Linked DNA regions of Oryzias latipes. The protein of the gene in region 1 purifies or fractionates together with the protein of each later gene. This does not show direct contact. Links are inferred from orthologs where the notes say so. Each region holds a gene or a part of one and is shown in the gene's direction. Other genes may lie near its edges.

Evidence for each region. The genes of interacting proteins can lie anywhere in the genome.
Region 2: the proteins of parp1 (region 1) and chd1l purify together in Homo sapiens (affinity purification with mass spectrometry; 7 studies listed by BioGRID and IntAct, with this or other methods). This does not show direct contact. The link is inferred for Oryzias latipes from reciprocal best matches to the Homo sapiens genes PARP1 and CHD1L.

What each region holds. Positions count from the first base shown.
Region 1 is NC_019882.2:7,703,640-7,708,612, forward strand, and holds the start of parp1 (poly [ADP-ribose] polymerase 1), read left to right. Parts: upstream 1-1,964; 5' UTR 1,965-2,074; coding exon 2,075-2,197; intron 2,198-3,690; coding exon 3,691-3,856; intron 3,857-4,018; coding exon 4,019-4,134; intron 4,135-4,204; coding exon 4,205-4,419; intron 4,420-4,973. UniProt on the Homo sapiens protein: Poly-ADP-ribosyltransferase that mediates poly-ADP-ribosylation of proteins and plays a key role in DNA repair.
Region 2 is NC_019862.2:6,462,282-6,466,567, forward strand, and holds part of chd1l (chromodomain-helicase-DNA-binding protein 1-like), read left to right. Parts: coding exon 1-60; intron 61-1,273; coding exon 1,274-1,427; intron 1,428-1,504; coding exon 1,505-1,688; intron 1,689-1,755; coding exon 1,756-1,901; intron 1,902-2,752; coding exon 2,753-2,904; intron 2,905-2,990; coding exon 2,991-3,184; intron 3,185-3,280; coding exon 3,281-3,379; intron 3,380-3,460; coding exon 3,461-3,531; intron 3,532-3,697; coding exon 3,698-3,812; intron 3,813-4,286. UniProt on the Homo sapiens protein: ATP-dependent chromatin remodeler that mediates chromatin-remodeling following DNA damage.

The sequences.
Region 1 (4,973 bases):
AGTATAACGTAGTGGTTAAAACGTACATTTTTCTCATCTAAGTTCACCTCAGTTTAAAAATCTAAAAATAAATGACCAACAACCCTATTATTTCTTCAAAATGTTAGCATTTTTCTTCAAAGCAAAAGAACCACAATGAAGGGATAAAAGAGCAGCATGTGGCTCTGGAGCCACAGGTTGCAGACCCCTGTTCTATTTCATCACACATGAGTTGGTTTTTGTCTGTATCTTCCATACGAACTCTATAAATGCAACCGTGTTGGTGTTTTAGACATCATGTGCTGTTCATTTTACATGTATACCATGCTTTTATACATTTTTTACAGAAATGTTTAATTGTATGATTGCCGTCCATCAAATAAACACATTTTCTGTCTGTTTTTGATACTTAAAATAATTTAAAAAACGATTTAATACTTATTGCATTCTACTTTTATCACACTAGTCATACAATTTAAGTTTTATTGGTTAAACGTACCCATTACATGGAATGGAAACCTATAATTTTGAAAGTGAAGGATTTACTTTCTTTTCAGACTGCAAGGATCGACTTCTCTTCATTCGATTGTTTTAGACTGAAGCGAGCGCGGGTACTCTGTGAGGTATCCAAATATCGTCTATTGTGAAAAATGGATCGCTTGACATTTTTTTATGAAACATTTCAAGTTTGAATACTTTTTGTTGAACATATTTTAGAGGAGTGTTGTTTATGCGGTTGAGTGGCTCCTGAGGAATGACCAAGAGGACAAATAAATATACATAAATAATAATATTTCGTTTTTGTTTTTTTAAATAAATTTATAAATAAATATATTTCAGTTGATCAAATCTTAAGTTCTTTCTTTAATTCTTCCAATCGACAAAACTGAACAAAAAAATTACCATTGTTCTAAAAAACATCTAAGGATAATAATACGAAAACAATAGCCTAGCTCTTCTTATTAAGGTCAGACTTAAAAACATAAACATACAGAAGAAGTTGCATTATGAAGAAAAACTTGTAACAAAAAGTAGAAGTATACATGCACACAAAAAATGTAATATTTGATTTATTTCCACGATTGACAGTTTATTCCAACAGTTATAGGATAATAATTATGTTGTCCATCTGATTTTTTTCAATGAAAAAAGTGATTTACATACCAAGAGATCTTCACAAAATCATATTTCTTCTTGTACGTCTTACTTTTTTGTCTAATTTACTTTAAACTATTTACTTTCTGAAAATTAGATATATAGATATGGATGGATGGATGGATGGATGGATGGATGGATGGATGGATAGATAGATAGATAGATAGATAGATAGATAGATAGATAGATAGATAGATAGATAGATAGATAGATAGATAGATAGATAGATAGATAGATAGATAGATAGATAGATAGATAGATAGATAGATAGATAGATAGATAGATAGATAGATAGATAGATAGATAGATAGATAGATAGATAGATAGATAGATAGATAGATAGATAGATAGATAGATAGATAGATAGGTAGATAGATAGGTAGATAGATAAAAGAAAACGAAAGAAAAGGTAGAATGGTAGTAAGTAAATGAAAGCAGAAAGAAAAGAAGCTTCCTGCAGAAAAGCCAATTGTCATTTTCTTTTAATGATGTCCAAGGAATATCAGAAGCCGGCTGTTTTCTAAATTTCTAAATAAGAGCTTGTGAGTATGGATAACTTAAACAATAAATATGATTTTCATAACAACAACAAAAAACATAAACTTCCATTCTACAGGCTCTGCATGCAAAGATGTTTTGAAAGATATGCTGAAGGAATGGAAGTATGTAACCCCGTTTCTTAGGTTCGGTTAGCTGTGATTTCTGTAGCTATCTGGATAAATATGCCCGCATCTATCAGATATTTGTGGACATGCGCCCAGGTTCAGCGTCCATTGGCAACTAACGCTTGTATCGGAGGTTTGACAAAAAAGAGTCAGAGTAAGCCCTCTTTACTGGATCTTGCTCGCTGCTCTTCGCGTTGTCCCTGTTGTTGCTCCTCGTGCTCTGGTGGAGAAACTTTGTCGTCTTCGGTTCAGCTTTTTAAGGATAAAGGGAAGCTATGGCCGACTCCCAGAATGACAAGCTGTTCCGAGCAGAGTACGCCAAAAGCGGCCAGGCTTCGTGCAAGAAATGCAAGGAGAAAATCGCGAAGGACTCGCTGAGGATGGCCATCGTGGTGCAGGTAAGCAGCGGCGGTCCAAGGAAACACCCGGGAGCGGAATTATTCCTACAGACTCACTTGTTTACCAAGCAGCTTCAGCAGATGTAAAAAAAAAATAAAAGTGTGTTTTTGAAAATGTGATATATAGGCCTGAGTAGTTCCGGTTTCGTCTGGACTGGTTTGGGCCCTCGTTAGCATTTATGGCTGCTAAATCTTCCGCACAAAGAGCCGCAGAGATGCTCCAAATAAATGCACTTTCCGGCATTCAAGCAGAAATGTGAGGAAAAATCACTGCTGCCTCTCAGTCTGACTCAGTCTTGGTGATTCTATCGCTTGTCTTTCGGGGGAACGTGTACCGCTCACTACTTTCTTTACTTCATTCGCTTTTTCCTTTTATTTATTCATTTAGTATTTTGTCTACCACAGGCTTCCGTTTCAGCAGATGGATTTGAAATACTAAACTTTGCATAATTAATTATTATTCTACAAGCAATTAATGCAAGTAGAATTTATATTTTTGGAAAAATACGTTGACATTCAAGTAAATTAATATGCAGGTAAAAAAATTATTATCTATAATCCAGTAAATTGTATAAAACTAATTTCTAATGCAAATTTAAAAATTAGGATGAAAAATGTAAATATCAATCACAGGTATTTATAAAAAAAAAATAGATCATATCTAGACTGATTGCTTTTATTGTCAAAAATTTTATATCAAAAGCACAGAGTAAAAATTGGCACCAACTAAACTTTAAAAAAAAAAAAATATATATATATATATATATATATATATATATTTAAATCATTTGTATTCAGATTTATATTTGTAAATTTCCCATCCTTCAGACTGATCAATTGATGGTTATTGATATTATTAAATAAACAGTTAAAATGTTTAATTTAAGGCGAGCAATTTAAATCTAAACGTAAGGAATAAAATGTAAAAATAATAATTAAACACATATATAAACAAAACTTTTATTACAGTTTGTATTTGTTTGTGGAATTAGAAAGATGTTCAAGTTTTTATTTGAAGGTATTTTTTATGATTTAAATAAAAACAAAATTGCGCTTTTGTTTTGGCGAGTCACTACAGCTAAAATGTTAAAGATAATTTGAAAAGCCTCTTATTTTTCTTAAACTGTACAGAAAAATTGAGAAAAGTCATTTTTAAAAGGAGCAGGACATGGCGACAATAGTACAATTATTTTTTTCAAAGGGTTAGTTTTTTCCTCCCATTTCACCTTCAAAAAATATTACGGTATTGCTAAATTATTTTACATCCTTTACTCGTCTCATAAAAATGTTTTTTGTCTGTTCTTTGTTCAACTTTTCAACTATCTTGTTCAATTCACCACCAAACTACACTGGAGCTTTCAGATGATCTGATATGAGCAGCAAACCCATCATTTTTTTCCAGAATCATCCAAACCCGGCAGATACAGACAGACTGAAAACTATAACTCTGCAGCTGAATGTGTTCACGCCTATGTTTACTCTGTGTCCCGCAGTCCCCCATGTTCGACGGGAAGGTCCCTCACTGGCATCACTTCTCCTGCTTCTGGCAGCGAGCCTCGGTGCAGTCCACGGCCGATGTCGGCGGGTTTTCGGATCTCCGCTGGGCGGACCAGGAAGCTGTCAAAAAAGCCATAGAAAGTGGTGGAGTGGCCGGAACAGGTCTGTGCTTGTCTGAGCTGTTTGTGCACACGGGAAATGAATTGACGTTTATCAGCGTGGTGAATGTTAGTCATCGGAAAGTCGCTTTTGTTTACTTTTTGTAGGTTGTTGAAAATTCTGACTTAAAGCACAGCGGGGTAAATTGAGGTCTCCATCTTGCAGGAAAGGGAAACTCTGGTGGTGCGGCTAAAGGAGAAAAGACGCTGAACGACTTTGCGGTGGAGTACGCCAAATCAAACCGCAGCACGTGCAAAGGATGTCAGCAGAAAATAGAAAAGGTTTGCTGCAGCTTCGTTTAAACAGTTCATTAACGGAAAGCACGCCTGTGACCTCTGACCTCTCCTCCAGGATCAGATTCGTGTGTCTAAGAAAGTGGTGGATGCAGAGAAGCCTCAGCTGGGCCTGATCGACCGCTGGTACCACACTGCATGTTTTGTGAGCCGCAGAGAGGAGCTGGCTTTCAAACCTGATTACAGCGCTGCTCAGCTGAAGGGATTCAATGTGCTGCGGGCAGAAGACAAGGAGGAGCTGAAGAAGAGGCTTCCTGCTGTAAAAACTGAGGGGTGAGGAGTAACAAAAACTATATATATATATATATATATATATATATATATATATATATATATATATATATATATATATATATATATATATATATATATATATATAAAAGTTTGACTAAGAGCTTTGACTCAGCTCTCACAGACTTGGTTTGGTCTAGAAGTTCTCTCATCTCCTCTGTTGTTTCCACTTAAAATCTCTGCCTCTCCCATCGACCTGCAGCACAGAAAAATGGCCTTAAAGGCGTCCCTGAAAGCCGTCATGGTGTATGCATACAGGAAGGGGTTCACAGCAGAGTTGGCGTGGGACAGGATGATGGTGGTGAGCAGCAGCTCCAGCGGAACGGGGCACTTTGGGCAAAGCAGGAGGAAGCAGTTGATCACATGGAGCGGAATCCAGCAGATTGTGAAGAGAAAAAGAACGAGGAAGAGCGACGTGGCCATCTTCATCTCCTTGCGCATGGTGGCTGCCGTCCTGCCCTGTCGCTCCCATCCTTCACCTTTCTCAGTCGCGATGCGCCTCATCTGCTGCTTCACCGTGAGGAAGATCTGGGCGT
Region 2 (4,286 bases), on another chromosome or scaffold:
CTTCAATCCACAGAATGACCTGCAGGCGGCGGCACGGTGCCATAGGATTGGCCAAAACAGGTAACATGGAAACACGTTTTTAAAAGCAAAACAAAAAACCTGTGACAGCTAGATGTCAGACTTGTCAAAAAAGAGTCTTTATTGAGAACCGAGGAGATCAGAAATTGAACCATCAACCCTTTAACAGGAAGTCATTTTAATTTTAGTTGCAAATCTGCTCTTTTCATGTAAATAACCACATTAGTTTAAGCTTTTAAAAGACCCACTCTGATGAAGATGGTTTTTTTGGCATTTGTTCTGATGATGGAGGACATATCTTAGGAAACTTAAACTTAAAATTGCATTTTTAAGTATTTTTTTATTCAAATCGTTGTGTATCAGGAGCAGACAAAAAAATGTGTACCGTATTTTCCGGACTATAATTCACTCCGGAGTATAAGTCGCACCAGCCCAAAAATGCATTATAAAGTAGAAAAAACACAGAGAAGTCGCACTGGACTATAAGTCGCATTTTGACGAGAAATTTATTTGACAAAATCTGAGACCAAGAGCTAATAACTTGCACAACCTTATGACACAATCATAGCAGACTGTTTATCTCATAATTTCACAGTAATTCTTTCTCAAACTTATTTATTTATTCCTTTCATGAAGCATCATTGGCCAACTAATACTCTGTTTTCATCCTGTATTTGTAGAAACGGTTGTCATTTTTATCGCATTTCTGAATCTATGAAATCATTGGAAAATAGAATATTATGTTGTTAACCTTCAAGATCTTATTGTAAAAAAAGTTTGCTGATTCTCTGAGTCACTTAACATACTCTAAACACTTAACATACCTCATACATCAAATTGACCCAGGAACATCATCTCTGTTCCTCACAAATGAAAATAACAGGAGGGTTAACAATGTATTTATTTCATTTTATTTCTAATATAAGTCGCTGCGGAGTATAAGTCGCACCCCTTGCCAAACTATGAAAAAAAGGGCGACTTATAGTCCGGAAAATACGGTATTTATTTATGGGGGTGGGAGAGCACGTATACGCAGAGCTCTCAGCAATGGGGAGCAGAAGGGGGGCAGGCTGGCTCCACTCCAACAGTCCAGACGTTTTCAAAATAACGGCCGCTCTGCAGAAACTATGTCCTACAAAACAACAACTTTTGTTTTGGTTGAAAACGGCTTAATCATGATTTTAAAAAAAAACACTACAAATGCTTTGAAACTGGATCACAAGATGATCAGAGTGGATCTCTAAACTTCCCACAGGCCTGTGAAGCAGATCCGGCTCCTGGCTAGAGACACGGTGGAGGAGATCATGTACTCGCGCGCCGCGTCCAAGCTGCAGCTCACCAACACTGTCATTCAAGATGGACGTTTCTCTTTACTGGATCAAGCTCATTCAGCAGCCGCAGGCGTGCAGGTAAGTTCCCGTTTGCACGACGATCCGGTTTCTCCACAAGTCCTCGTGATCCGGCTTCCATGTCCCGTCCCTTCCAGTTAAGTGAAATCTTGAAGTTTGGGGTAGATAAGCTCCTGTCATCAGATGAAAGCTCGGTGCAGGATGTAAACCTCCAGAATATATTTGGGTCATCGCGAGGCGGTCAGTGGGTCGATGACGAGGACTTGAAGGCAGTTGCAGAAGAGGAAGAAGAGGAGGAAAGACCTGAATCTGACGAGCTGAGTATGTTCTTTTTACTTCAAAATATTTCTCTGTTTGACCTTCGACGAGCGGTTGTCTCCTCCTCTAGACCACATGTACATCTTTGAGGGCGTAGACTACAGTCGGGACCCAAGCTCCGAGGACCGGAAGATCTTTGACCGTTTGCTGGAGGAGCAGCTGGCTGAGATTCAGAAGGCTGTGGGGGAGGGACGAGCTCTGAGACACAAAGCTGGAGTGAGATTCTTAAACCAGTTTACAAACCTAAACTTAAGACACTAGAGAAATTCCCTCTCCACTCAAGTCTTTATTATCCTTATGGGAGATTTCAGGTCTGGACTTTGATCAATCTCTCTTTTTTTTTTTTTTTGGTGATACTTTTGATGTAGTTTCAGCCAAAAGTCAATTTTGATGTATTTTGTTCAAAGATCTTTTATGTTTTGTTTAGATGAGTTTTGGTTTTCTCCAAAAACTGTCCTGCATAGATATGTAGTTAAAAATGTTCTTCACTTTAACATTATTTGACACTGGAAAAGCCATCGTCCCTCCTGATAGTTACTTTATCAGAGCCTGGAGCTCATGAACACAAACGTGTTTCCCACAGATGCAGTAATGCAGATGCATATTTTTGTGATTCAATTCTGTAAAATAGAAAACTGACAATGAATGTCATTTATTCTGCATCCAAAGTTTCAAAATAGCCAAACCCCTATGTAATTAATGTAATTTTACTTATCTTTTTTAAATGGAATTTAATTGTTTTGTTTAATACTTTAATTTAATAACATTTAATACACTGTAAGTTAATGCATTTTAAGTTAAAAAAAATTTGAATTTAATGTAATTTTAATCAAATTTAGTTGACTTAGTTTAATTAGTTTTAATAATTGTAAAATAAATAATTAAATAAAATAAATATATATCAATTTCTTTAACTTCACCAATAAGGTTTTTGTTTTGGTTGTGATTGTTTACAGATATTTACAGGTATAAAATCTCACTCGTGTTCATTTGAAGAGCATTTCTCTCTCAAAGTGGAGTACATTCAAATGGAAGCGTTGCATGTTCTGTTGGTCTGTTTGTGTCAGGTCTCCCTCTCGGTGGCTGTTGGGATTCCGACGAGGAAGAGGAAACCTCTGAGTGAAGCGGAGCTGGAGCTCCGGAGGAAGAGGAGGGAGGACGCTGCAGCCAAAAGAGCAAAGCTTCAGGAGGACCTGAAAAGGAAGCAGCAGGCCAAAAAGTACCGCGCAAATGTGACCATTTTTCTGCTCATTGACTTCATCCATGTGAGTTTCACCCAAACCTTTTGCTTTTCTGTTTGTGCAGAATGGCATGGTGGGAGTCCTCTGGCTACAGGTCGCTTTGTCTGCCGCCTGTTGTGAGTGAAGAAGACGAGGATGAGGAGGATGGCAGCAGCTCTTGCTCCATGGATTCAAACAGTGTGGATATCTGCTACGTTCTTGGAGATGTGACCCACCCACACGCTGCTAAAGGAGATGCGATCATCATCCATTGTGTTGGTAAGCGCTGCACCCATGGCAACACACCTTTTTGCTTGTCAGACTTCTCTGACAGACATCCCCCCCATGTCTCTCTGACGCCATGACTTGTGTTAGATGACTCAGGCCGATGGGGCAGAGGAGGCGTCTTTACGGCGCTGGAGGTGAGATCAGACGAGCCACGGAAACGCTATGAGCTGGCCGGCAAGATGAAAGGTGACGGGCAACATCAACTCCGTGAAACACCTGAACCTGCAGTGGAACGCCACCGCTAAAGCACGAAAATGTGGCTTTCAGATTTGGAGCTGGGGAGCGTTCTGCTCTTCCCCATTGATGACAAACAATCCAGACCGGACGGCCAAGATCAGGCAGGTTCTGCTCAGTGGCCGGGAGCGTCCTCCTGCTTGAAAGTTTGATCACTTTTAGTAGCTTTTTATTTTTTTACTTGTGTGAGATCCGGCTCTGCTGAGTGTGTGAGACAGCTGCCATCTGATAAGACAGGAACCTGTATTCATTTCCTTTCTGTCACCTCAGTTGGCGCTTATTGTGGCACAGCGACGAGACAAGGCCCACAACTTGTCTGGGATCCTCTTAACGGCTCTGGATGAAGGCCTGAAGAAGATCTATGTGGCGGCCAGGAGGAAAAAGGGTAATGTATCAAGTGAAGAAGCACCATCTTCTAAAGGGATTCTGCTTTAAATGTGGCATAAATGCTGTTTGATTAGCAAACACAGCAGAATTAACCAAAAATTAGTCTTTTTTCTTTATTTTTTACAAAGATCAGAAACTCGAAACACAAGAATATAAAAGTCAGAAAAATCTGGATTTAAAATGGGGGTCTTGGTGTGGGGACGGCCGGGCATTCTCCCTCTTTTTACATTCCATCATCCACCTCAGTAGAATATGAACACTCACCTGAGCACAGGTGTCCGCTCCCCTTTGGACAAAAGCTACGCGTGACTGAATGAAATGCCTTACATGTGACGGTTTGTGTACAAATGTGTGCATGAACTGTAGTTGTACCGTCTACATGTTGACATGTTTGGATGGGAAGATCTGAATGTGTGTGTGTGTGTGTGTGTGGAAAGGCCACACCCCTTTTGGCTAACACCTACACAAATTG